2 linked regions of the Danio rerio genome follow. The protein of the gene in region 2 interacts with the protein of the main gene of each other region in a pairwise test. Links are inferred from orthologs where the notes say so. Each region holds a gene or a part of one and is shown on either strand. Other genes may lie near its edges.

Evidence for each region.
Region 1: the proteins of uba3 (region 2) and impa2 interact in binary tests that used the Homo sapiens proteins (3 or more experiments, as listed by UniProt). The two-hybrid records come from large-scale screens. The link is inferred for Danio rerio from reciprocal best matches to the Homo sapiens genes UBA3 and IMPA2.

Annotation. Positions count from the first base shown.
Region 1 is NC_133199.1:885,478-891,952, reverse strand, and holds the end of impa2 (inositol monophosphatase 2), read right to left. Parts: coding exon 6,464-6,475; intron 4,539-6,463; coding exon 4,426-4,538; 3' UTR 1,371-4,425; downstream 1-1,370. UniProt on the Homo sapiens protein: Phosphatase that can use myo-inositol monophosphates, myo-inositol 1,4-diphosphate, scyllo-inositol-1,4-diphosphate, glucose-1-phosphate, beta-glycerophosphate and 2'-AMP as substrates in vitro.
Region 2 is NC_133186.1:19,925,894-19,932,368, reverse strand, and holds part of uba3 (NEDD8-activating enzyme E1 catalytic subunit), read left to right. Parts: intron 1-650; coding exon 651-731; intron 732-853; coding exon 854-936; intron 937-1,018; coding exon 1,019-1,099; intron 1,100-4,093; coding exon 4,094-4,137; intron 4,138-4,304; coding exon 4,305-4,369; intron 4,370-4,499; coding exon 4,500-4,655; intron 4,656-4,731; coding exon 4,732-4,834; intron 4,835-4,923; coding exon 4,924-5,037; intron 5,038-6,475. UniProt on the Homo sapiens protein: Catalytic subunit of the dimeric UBA3-NAE1 E1 enzyme. E1 activates NEDD8 by first adenylating its C-terminal glycine residue with ATP, thereafter linking this residue to the side chain of the catalytic cysteine, yielding a NEDD8-UBA3 thioester and free AMP.

The sequences.
Region 1 (6,475 bases), on a different chromosome or scaffold from region 2:
GTAATGTAGTTTTGCATATATTCAAGAGTAACGTTTGAGCAAATATTATAAAAGCGGCTGCAGCGCCACCTGCTGCCCACCTAAATATCTAATAATATTTCACCCTTCAATCTTATCTGTTGGATTAAATGTGATTTTAGTCATTTTACATACTTGGATTTAATGTCTACATGTTTTTCCAAGACGTAAATAAATTAAAGATTGTGTTACCAAAGAAATACTTTAGTTTTAACATGTAATTCAGCTATTTTAAGTTTCTTTGCAATCATTTATGAAATGTAATGGTCATTTCATTTACATTTAGTCATTTAGCAGACGCTTTTATCCAAAGTATTTCGGAGTTAAATGTTATAAGCCTACTCTTGTTTTTCTGCGGGGATTGTTTACATATACAGTAGTTTACATATGAAATGGATTGATTATAATAAAAGTAGTAAAATCTATCCTAAGGATACGACAAGAACAGGTACATTTAATTTAAGGACAACTCTGATGAAAGTTTCCCAGAGATGGGTTGCAGCTGGAAGGGCATCCGCCGCATAAAACATATGTTGGATAGTTGGAGGTTCATTCCACTATGGTAACCCCTGATTAATAAAGGGGCCAAGCCGAAAAGAAAATGACTAAATGAACTCTGATGAAAGGTTTTGACACACTGAAGAAGGTTGCTGACTATATGTATTTGTATGAGCCCTGATGAAGAATAAAGCGAAGGATAGTGCTGTTATGTGCTGTAATCTATTATTTATATTCCTTCTTACCTTATTCTTTTTAATTTCATAGCACCTTGAGCCTAAGAAACATGCATTACACACACACACACACACACACACACACACACACACACACACACACACACACACACACACACACACATCAGAATTATTAGCCCTCTAGTCAAATTTGAATTAATTTTAATTTGAATTATCTCCCAATTTCTGTTTAACAGAGGTGACAGCACGTAATATTAGACTAGATATTCTTCAAGACACTAGTATTCAGCTTAAAGTGACATGTAAAGGCTTCACTAGGGTAATTAGGGTAAAGTTAGGGTAATTAGGCAAGTCATTGTATAACAGTGGTTTGTTCTGGAGACAATCCAACACTAATATTGCTGAAGGGGTGAATAATATTGACCTTAAAATGGCTTTAAAACTATTAAGAACTGCTTTTATTCTAGCCCAAATTAAACAAACAAGACTTTCTCCAGAAGAACAAACATTAGAGGAAACACTGTCATCAACTCCTGAATCTGTTCAACATCATTTGGGAAATAATTAAAATGAAATAAGTTTCACAGGAGGGCAAATAATTTTGCCCTTGACAGTACAGAATATTAAATAAGCTGAATGAGGCCAGTCCAGCGCTGCTTTGAGTGTTTATGCCGCTTTAATATTTCACACCAGAGGATTTCCGCCCTGATACAAACACAGGGATTAAAGAGAGAAGTTCAACACAGCAGGAGAAACTATAAAAACTGGCAGTGAAAACTCTCCTCTCCATGTGTTCCTTACAGTGCGTCAGTCAGTCAGCATTAGAAAAACATAACAGTGTCAAATACAGGTTAAAACTGCAGTCAGTGTGTGTGTGTGTGTGTGTGTGTGTGTGTGTGTGTGTGTGTGTGTGTGTGTGTGTGTGTGTGTGATAACGCCAAGATCATGGATTTATGAGTTATTAGGTGCTTTCGGTTAAACAACTTCTGTGAGAAATGATCAGGATCAACATGTACTGTACATATTAACCAGATGTATACATCACTGCACTGCTCTGTGTGTAATTCAGCATCCTACATCTGCATATATTCATTTCCAATAGATTTAAATTCAATATGTGTTTTATTATATTTAATAGGGGGCGACACATGGCAAACACTGGCCTCACAGCAAGAAGGTCGATAGTTCGAGTCCCGGCTGGGTCAGTCTGTGTTTCTGTGTGGAGTTTGCATGACTGTGGGGGAAACCGGAGCACCTGGAGGAAACCCACACCAACACGGGGAGAACATGCAAACTCCACACAGAAACACCAACTGACCCAGCCAAGCCTCAAACCAGTGACCTTCTTGCTGTGAGGTGATTGTGCTACCCACTGCGCCACCGTGAGACCCTCATTCATCACAGTAAGTCTGAGGGGTAAATATGACATTTCTATCAGTGTTTGATTACAGAACACACAGGTAATACTGGGTTATCTCAGTGTAAAAACAACTTTCCTCACAGAGAAAGTCATTCCTGAGGAATATAATACTGGAATATAATAGAGTGACTCAAACTCTCCTTTCTTTACTGATGTAAAGTGTGTAAATGCATATATTTATTCAGTCTGTTTTAAATTAAATTATTGTACTATATATTATATAATAATAAGCTAACATTTAAAGATTTGTTTACAAAACTATTTGTTAAGTAATATTCTGTCTTTCACTCACCGGCCACTTTATTAGGTACACCTCACTAGTACCGGGTTGGACCCCTTTTGCCTTCAGAACTCCCTTAATCCTTCATGGCAGAGATTTTGCTCCATGTTGTCATGATAGCATCACACAGTTGCTGCAGATTTGTCGGCTGCACATCCATGATGCCAATCCCAACCACATCTCAGAGCTGCTTTATTGGATTGAGCTCTGGTGACTGTGGAGGCCATTTGAGTACAGTGAACTCATCGTCATGTTCAGCAGTCTGAGATGATTGAGCTTTATGACATGCTGCGTTATCCTGCTGGAAGTAGCCATCAGAAGATGGAGACACTGTGCTCATAAAGGGATGGACATGGTCAGCAGCAATACTCAGGTAGGCTGTGGCGTTGATGCTCAATTGGTACTAATGGAGCCAAAGAAAATCTCCCCCACACCATTACACCACCACAACCAGCCTGAACCGCTGATACAAGGCAGGATGATCCATGCTTTCATGTTGTCTGAGTCGAGCATCTGAATGTGTCAGCAGAAATGGAGACTCATCAGAGCAGCAACGTTTCTCCAATCTTCTATTGTCCAGTTTTGGTGAGTCTGTGTGAATTGTAGCCTCAGTTTCCTGTTCTTAGCTGACAGGAGCGGCACCCGGTGTGCTCTTCTGCTGCTGTAGCCCATCCGCCTCAAGGTTGGCCGTGTTGTGTGTTCAGAGATGCTCTTCTGCAGAGCTCGGTTGTATCGAGTGCTTATTTGAGTTACTGTTGCCTTTCTATTAGCTGGAACCAGTCTGGCCATTCTCCTCTGACCTCTGGCCTCATCAACAAGGCATTTGCGCCCACAGATCTGCCGCTCACTGGATATTTCCTCTTTGTCTAAGCATTCTCTGTAAACCCTAGAGATGGTTGTGTGTGAAAATCCCAGTAGATCAGCAGTTTCTGAAATACTCAGAGCAGCCCGTCTGGCAGCAACAACCATGCCACGTTCAGAGTCTCTTAAATCCCCTTTCTTCCTCATTCTGATGCTCACTTTGACCTGCAGCAGATCCTCTTGACCATGTCTACATGCCTAAATGCAGTGAGCTGCTGCCATGTGATTGGCTGATTAGAATTGTTGCTGTTAATGAGCAGTTAGACAGCTGTACCTAATAAAGTGGCCGGTGAGTGTATATCATATAGGAGCGCTGCTGTAGCTCTCTCTACTAAACGAGTGGCTGTAACTGTATGTGCATTGTGAACGTGACATTAGTTCAGAGGTGATTGTTTGCTGTTATTGAGTCTCTCCTCGTCAGTCTTTATAATTATTAAATCACATCTGCAGATTCTGTCTGGCTGTGAATAACCGAGACCATGAGCAGATTCAAGGAGCAGCGGAACATACAGTGAAGTGTGTGTGTGTGTGTGTGTGTGTGTGTGAGAGTTAGTATGAGAGAGGGAGAGACAGAGGGTGTGTGTGTGTGTGTGTGTGTGAAAAAGAAAGTGTGTGTATGTGCGTGTGTGTATAGTCAGTTTCTGTTTGTTTGTTTTTGTGTGTGTCTGTGTAAAAGAGAAATTGTGTATGTGCGTGAGAGAGAGTGTGTATATGTGTGTGCACGTGTGAGTGTATGCGTGCTTCTGTGTGGTTATGAGAGAGCAAGAGAGAGAGTGTGCATGTGTGAAAGAGAAAGTGCATGTATGTATGTATGTGAGAGTGTGTGTGTGTCTGTAAAAAAGTGTGTGTGTGTGTGTATGAGAGAGAGTGTGGGTGTAGGTGTTAGTATGCGAGAGTTTACATGTGTGTGACTACTGTGTGTGTTTATATGCGAGTGAGAAAGTGTGTGTGTATAAGAGAGTGTGTTTGTATACATGTGTGTGTGTGTGTGTGTGTGTGAGAGAGAGGGAGAGAGAGAGAAAGTGTATGTGCAAGTAAGTGTCTGTGTGTGTGTGTGTGGACATTGCAGTAGTGGCGTGGCAGGATTGTGTGTGTGTGTGTGTTCTGAGGTAAAAGGCTCAGGTTGGGGTCGGAGGTCACTCAGAGGTCAGTCAGAGGTCATCTCTGCCGTAGTTTATGGGCTGCAGCTGTTTGACCACATATTCAGCGATCTCACGCGTCCCTGCAGCCACAACACGCCTGGACATCAGGTCTAGCGGACCACCTGAAACACACACACACACACACACTGAGCCACTTCATTCTTCTTCATTTGGTTTTATTTTTATTATTCTATTTTCATCATTTTGTTTATTAGATCATATTTTAAAAACATTTTTTCATGTATATTTTGTTTGAGTTTTTTTGAAAATAAAAGGCTCTAAACCACAGGAATATATCTTCCTTGTATTAGAAACGTCATCAGTAGTTTACAGAACAAAACAAAACTTTAATTTTACTTAAACTATAATCTATAAGCCAGAGAATCTGATTTATCTCAAGTGTTTCCTTTCTTTCCCCACAGCAGAATATACCGTATATTAGAACCAGCAGGAAACACTGAGCTGTATTAACACTGTCTACAGTAGACACGTCCTCTATTTATATAATAATATCTGATGATATGTGAACTATTATCAACACCTTCATGTGTGATATTCAGAGTTAAACAGTAATGAGTGCACTGCGCCGCTGTAAAGCTCTTTGTGTTTCAATCTGACATAATGAATCAGAAATCATGTTCAACAGAGAGCACAGACTGATTTCATCTGATTAAATCTGTGGGTTTATAAAAGGAGAAACGACTATATGTAGAGGATTACTATTTATAGCCACTTTGAAATACTTCGTACAAAAAAAGTGTTCCTTTAAAGGTGCTGGGTGTAAGATTCTGACTGTTCTGCATCATATAAACACCATAACGTGTGCAGATATTTCAGAGACTGTCGCTTTAAATGCAAACGAGATGGTGCTCTTTTCAGAAGAGGGCGGAGTTACAGACACCTGTGAATCTGCATAGTGGCAGATACATAAACAGGACTAATGTACTATGCTAATGAGAGGGCCATTAGTGGGCGGGGCTTAGTTAACCCCTCTGATGACACGTACAACAGGAGAATGTCAATCAAAGTGTTTCTGCAGACTGTTTTCATCAAGTCTGATTAGAACAAACACAATTAATACATGTTGACCATTAGAGGCTGGAGATATTCACACACTGCTGACACACAACTGGGTTTAAACTGCTTATAAAGTGATTTATGCATATCAGGTGCCCTTTAAAGTGACTTATTTCAGCGACCGCAATAGAATCTTGAAGGGGGCGGGGCTTATTAAACACTAGAGAGCATTTGATTGGTCAGAAGAGGTGATGAGAGACTAAAGTATGAGGTGACGCCACTTAATTTTGCTGAAAGAGACACAAACCTAGAGTTGATTGTTTATAACATCTAAATATATGTATGTTTTGTCACCGTTTTGGAGCGCACTAGATTGTAGATATCCTTAAGACTTATAAACATATTGAAGCTTACACCTAAAATCTTTAGTTTGATTTCACAGTGACTTTAAACGCACCCGAAAAATGAAACTTCTGTCATTAATTACTCACACCTCACTTGTTTCAAAGCTTTACTGATGCTGTTAAACACAGATATTTTGAAGAATGTTGGAAACCTGTAACCATTGACTTCCATAGTGCTTTTCCTACAATGAAACCCAATAGTTACAGGTTTTCCAGCATTCTTCAGAAGATCTTCTATTGTATTCAACAGAAGAAAGAAACCCTTAAAGCTTTGGGATCACTTGAGGGAGAGTAAATAGGAAGTCAGTTTTCATTTTTGGGTGAACTGTCCCTTTAACTCTTTCCCTGCCAATAGTTTTTAATGATTTAAATTTGAAAGCCTTCAGAATATTTTCGGCAAGGAATATCTGACCATATCATATATCAAGATAAAGAACCATCCCTCTGCTTTCAAACAAAAATGCATTTTATTCATGTGTTCATCCCCCTACCGAATACAGATTGGCGAACGAACTGATCAGTGGCAGCTGGCAGGGAAAGAGTTAATGCGCTGATGGAAGCCCTCTTTAAGAGTTATGCGTAGGGTCCCTAAATGTTTAATCTGGGAAGTGTGTGTGTATTCTGACCTGTAGTGTCCA
Region 2 (6,475 bases):
AAGAGCTGTCACAGAACTGTTGCCACAGCATGAAGAAATACAACATTCAGCACCTAAAAAAGCCCAACAGGCGCCTATATGAGGAGTGTTTTGCTAAAAAGTTAACTAATTATATTGCCAGTGACACTCAATCTAGTTACTAGAAAATTTCAATTTTAGAGTTGTTTGCTAATGTAAGGTGATATCTTTTCAGTTCCACTCGCTGCATTTTAGCAGATAGAAGCTACAATACAGATTGTTGAGCTGAAGCTTGACTACAAAATTAAATCGCAAATCAAATCGAAATCACAATATCTGTTCAAAAAAACGCAATTAGATATTTTCCCCAAATCGCACAGCCCTATTATAGGTTCATAATAACTGCCTTATCAATGCAGTGTATGTTTTGCATTCGCAAGATATGTTTTCACAGTGGTTAAATTACTATTATGATATTATGGTGGAGAATAAAATGCATAAATTACATTCTTCAGATGAATGATTTCATATAAAGCACAACTAACATTAAAATAAGACAAAAAATCTAAAAGATATTTCATAGTTTGAGAACAATGTCATTATCACAATATCAGTCCATTTGTGGTAATCTTAATATTGCTCTGCTCTCTTTCTCTCCTTTTTCTTTATAAATTGCGCACATCATCTTCCAGTCTCTCCAGTTTTTATTGGACACATGCAAGATTCTGGTTATTGGAGCCGGTGGACTTGGATGTGAGCTGCTCAAAGATCTGGTAATGTTGTTTCCTGTTTGATCTTGTGCTGGAATAACAATGCAATATATTTGACACAATCGATCCTCAAAGAGGCTAAATGTGTTTTTTTTTTTTTATATCGCTACAATGTCATCAATCAGGCTTTGTCAGGTTTTCGACATATTCATGTAGTGGACATGGACACCATTGACGTTTCTAACCTCAACAGACAGTTCCTCTTCAGGTTAGTCTGCGGACAGCTGTCTTTTTGAACCCTTTGTCGTTCTGATTTTAATCATCTAAACAGCCTGCTCTTGTTTCTCTAGGCCAAAAGATGTGGGCCGACCAAAGGCAGAGGTTGCAGCAGACTTCGTAAACGACAGGGTCCCAGGATGCAGTGTTGTCCCGTATCCTTTAAAGTGTATTAACTTAGTTTTGTCTTTTGTTTCAAAATTTAATTTTGATTTTGTTTGTGGGAAGTTTGAAATGCCACTGTACTTTTTTTCTGTGTTCAAAAAGTTAGAGGGCAGTAAGATGATTATATTTTATTTGCAAGAAACTTCCAATATTTTTTGCAATAAAGGATGCATTTAATAATCAATAAATCTATTAAATATGTGTATAATTTTACAAACAGTTTCTTTTATTAAAGGTATGCTTTTTTCTGGGATTTCTATTCATCCTAAAATAATAATAATAAAACATAAAAAATACAGTGCTGGGCAAAGATTAATCACATTAAAAATAAAACACATTAAAAATATTGTTTAGGCGTAATATATGTCAGTGTATTATATATATTTATTATGTATATACAGGGCTTTACATTAACACCTGCCAACCCGCCAAATGCGGGTAGATTTCGGTTGTGGTGAGTTAGACAGCCACTCTCACCAGCCACTTTGGCTGGCTGAAACTCCTTTTTAAATTGCCAGTGCTGGCTCGTCGTCACTAGGTTAGACTGTTAGTTTATGACCGTTTGTCTATATGCGTACAAATGTGATCTTAGAATCCAGAAGCAGCACGACTGACAAAAACAGTTTTTCGCGCGAGCAAAGGAAAGCAGATAAATAACGAATTAGAGGATCACGTACACAGTGAGACAGGCTTTCCTCACTCACTGACGAGGGCTCGTGTCGCGCGCACAGATGATTTGATTTGATGTTTCTTTTGCTTGCTGTTATTTTTGTTAATATAGTTTAATAATCATCCTTTACAATAATATTGCTTAAATATGTTGTTGTATGCACAGTTAACTGGTGATCTGGGATTTTGAGCCAGAACAGACCACTGTGCATAGTTTTAAATGCGTGAGTGTATATATATAAATATATATATATATATATATATATATATATATATATATATATATATATATATATATATATATATATATATATATATATATATATATATATATATATTTCGCGTGGGTTTCTTCCGTGTGCTCCGGTTTCCCCCACAGTCCAAAGACATGCGGTACAGGTGAATTGGGTAGGCTAAATTGTCCGTAATGTATGAGTGTGTGTGTGGATGTTTCCCAGAGATGGGTTGCGGCTGGAAGGGCATCTGCTGCGTAAAAAAAACTTGCTGGATAAGTTGGCGGTTCATTCAGCTGTGGTGACCCTGGATTAATAAAGGGATTAAGCTGACAAGAAAATGAATGAATGAATGAATGAATGTAAATAAATATATATATTTTAAATGTCAGCTGTTTTGTTAAACAAAAAGTGTATGGATCCAGCAGTATTTTGCTTGTTTTGACACATTATTTAAAATTTGTGGCAAGGAAATAATTAGTTTGGAGTGGCCAGTCGAAAAAAAAGGCAAACCATTATTGTGTTGAGCCCTGAAAAGTCCTGTGAAAGAAAACTAATTGCAATGCGCAACTTTTTATGAAAGTAATAACCCATAATCCATAATAACTAAATAACCCATTTGCTAATGCTCATTGAGTAAGCTCATAAACAAAAAAACAGTTAAATGAACAAGAAGTAATTTTAGCATGCCGCAACCCATGCCAAAGTCAAATTTATGCATATAAAATATATTTTCCCATCAGCAAAATTGAAATTGTGGCTAGTGAAAATGGCGAGTGGCTAGTAACGGTGGAAAACTACTAGCCACAATGGCTGGTGATCAAAAAAAGTTAAAGTCAAGCCCTGTGTATATATGATATACACATACATAAAATCAAAACAATACAAACATTTTTTTTTTATTACATATTTAAATTTATATATAATTTGTGCTATATACACTACCGGTCGAAAGTTTGGGGTCAGTACATTTTTTAAATGTTTTAAAATAAGCCTATCTTGCTCACCAATGATTCATTTATTTAATCAGAAATACAATACAAATTGTAAAATGTTATTGCACTACTGTTCAAAAGTAGTTTATCATTTAATCATTTATTCCAGTGATTTTAAAGATAAGATTTCAGCTTCATTACTCTAGTCTTCAGTCACATAATCCTTCAGAAATCACTCTAAGATTAATTAATTAATGTTGTTGTTGTTATTATTATTATTATTAATGGTAATTGTAATAAAAAAATAATGAATGAAATAATAATTTCATTTGAAACTACATACAATAAGAAAGCAGTTATTTAAAATGTTAATAAATGTTTAACAATTTAACTTTTTTTATTTACATTAAATAAATGCCGCCTTGATGAACATAATCATTTTCTTAAAAAAATTAAAAACATGAAAAAAAAAAAAAAAAAAAAAAAAATATATATATATATATATATATATATATATATATATATATATATATATATATATATATATATATATATATATATATATATATATATATATATATATATTGACCGGTAGTTAACATATAAAATTTATATCTAAATATAAATATTTTATCAAATATATCCATGCATGCATGCATGTGCGTATTACATATACATAATAAATAAATATTTACAATACACACAAATATTATGTCAAAACAGTACCGTTATTTTAAATTAGTTAATGTTTGATCAACACTAATAAAATATAATTCACTCTTTTCAACTGATATTAACAAGCATCTTAAGTAACAAGCAGCATATATACAATATAAAAGATGTAACACAAATGTAAAACTGAAGCGTGTAGTAATGATGCTAATTAATCTGCTTTTTCAATAGTGTGAAAGTATGCTTTTTTTTAATTCTAAAATATTTAGTATAAATTGGAATAATACTTGGCAATAATACTGATTTACGCTATTGTTCATCAAATAAATGCAACAGAAGTGAAATTTAAAAAATCTTACTGAGCCCAAACTTCTGAACTTGTAGTTTTTATACTGATTTATACTGTTGTATTTATACTGTTTTACACAGATTTGTACTGTCAAAATATTGTCATTTCCCTTAATACATAATGCAGACATTTTAAGAAAATCCAGGACTTGGATGAGACATTTTACAGGCGTAATCTAACTGTTACACATTTTGTTTTCATTATTTTTGTGTACAGAAATAATGTCCTAAAATCATAAATATATGATACTATTGTTCTGTTATTGTTATTAATAGTATGATGCTTTTTAGGCAGTATTATATTCTTAAATCTTTGTAATTTAACTGTTTTTGCATAGAATTCCACATAGTCGTCTGTGGCCTGGACTCTGTTATCGCCAGAAGATGGATGAACGGCATGCTTGTATGTCTCATAAACATCCAAGAATCTATTAATAGATATGTTTAGATCTAAAATCCATTCATTCATTAATTAAGTAGAGTGTTTCTATTCATTGAGAAGTACATATAGTCTATGCATTTACCTTTGTCAGCTCTCCCTGCTGATTTATGAAGATGGAGTCCTGGACCCCAGCTCTATTATTCCACTAATAGATGGTGGCACAGAGGGCTTCAAGGGCAATGCCCGGGTCATTCTTCCAGGAATGACAGCCTGCATTGATTGCACTCTGGAGCTCTACCCCCCACAGGTGCATTTTGGGATTTTTTGTGTTAAGTTGAAGTTTCAAAGCTTTTTTGTCATGCTCATTTCTGCGCCCTACACAGATCAACTTCCCGATGTGCACTATAGCGTCTATGCCACGGTTACCCGAACATTGTGTTGAATATGTACGCATGCTGCTGTGGCCCAAAGAAAAGCCCTTTGGAGGTACAATATGAGCTGATTGATTGGAATTTTTGGTTGTATTGCTAGCAGGTAATCTACTGTATTTCAGATATGGCTTTTTTGTTCTTCAGATGGTGTGGTTCTAGATGGAGATGACCCAAAGCACATCCAGTGGGTGTATCAGAAATCTTTGGAGAGAGCGGCTGAGTTCAACATCACTGGGGTCACTTACAGACTCACCCAGGGTGAGTGAGATGCCCTGTTCAATGGATCTTCATCAGGGATTTTTAAAAGCATCTCTTTTATTGACTTTAGGGCTGTAATTGTGCACATATTCATAATGAACGATTTTGATACAGGTCTTAGGGGCTGATCACAATGAACATGTTTTTCCGTGCTAAAACACGAGGCGCACCATATTTTCTTCTTTGTTGACGAGAAAAAAGAAGCGCTTTTTGCTAGGCAACAACTGAATCAGCTGTGTATTGTGCGAGAGTGTTGCTGTGATATTGGTATCATTTTAATATTAAATAATACATTTTATTTGTATATATAATATTTGTTAAGTCATACAGCTCCGGATAACTCAAAACAGCAACAGCTAGTCTTTCCTCTTTCTCCAAAAGTTTCCGTAGTCATCTTGACAACACAAACACTGCTGTCACCTCAACAGAAACCCTGCCTCTGCTTTTATTTAATTGTAGAATGAAAAAGACGCGAGTGATGTAGCACACTTTTTTTCCCTCGGAGTTGACTTTTTCAACTGCAAGTGCACAGCACCTAACGGCAAAAATGCAAGGCGCACAGGGCGCATTAGCAGTGTGCAAAACGCTCATGACCGTTAATAAACTATTCTAAAGATTCAACCCTCAGCGCAAAAAATGCATTCTGTGTGATTGGCCACTATAATTCACATAGACATTATACATAAAGTTAAAATATAACTAGTGGGTGGAGGACACTTTAGTTCATTTATCAGGGTTTTCGAGGGACATTTAGGTCCTATCACAGTTCTATTTTTGTACCCCTTCCCCTTGGCCTTTAAAACCGAGTGTGAAGGGGAAGGCGAAAAGTTAGCCCTAAGAATTGGGACAACGCTACAGCACCTGTACACGTCATCATATCTCTTGCTTCTTATGAGATCGATGATCGTGACTGCTGTAGTTATTCCAGTTGCTGTAGTTTTTGGTATTTATCTTCAGGAGATCACTGAAGGCTTATATTATAATATCAAAACTATCTAATGTGGCAATAAGATCGTAACTGTACTGCGCATTTACACTGTGGCCATATTCGTCAATATAAACACACAAAAAACAATAACATTATAGCAGACACCGTAAAAAGCTCATGCGCAACCAATAGACTCTTCTGAAATGGTATTCGTGTATCATCGAGTGTCAGAATGTTGTGGGATTGCTATACAGGAGGTATGATTATGGATTATATATAGTGAAATTTAGCTGGTTTTATATTAGTATTTTTTTAAAGCATGACGGTAAAACATGAACGCGGTTATGAATATATTAAAAGATGTGCTTGTTTGTTGTAAAAATTCATAATAATGAAAAAATAATAATAATTTGCGTATCTCCTTACGTCCGGGTCTAGCTATCCTGCCCTTGTGGCTGGTGTATTCTGGGAAATTTTCTTACCCCTTGGTTTCGAGTGTGGTCCTGAAAA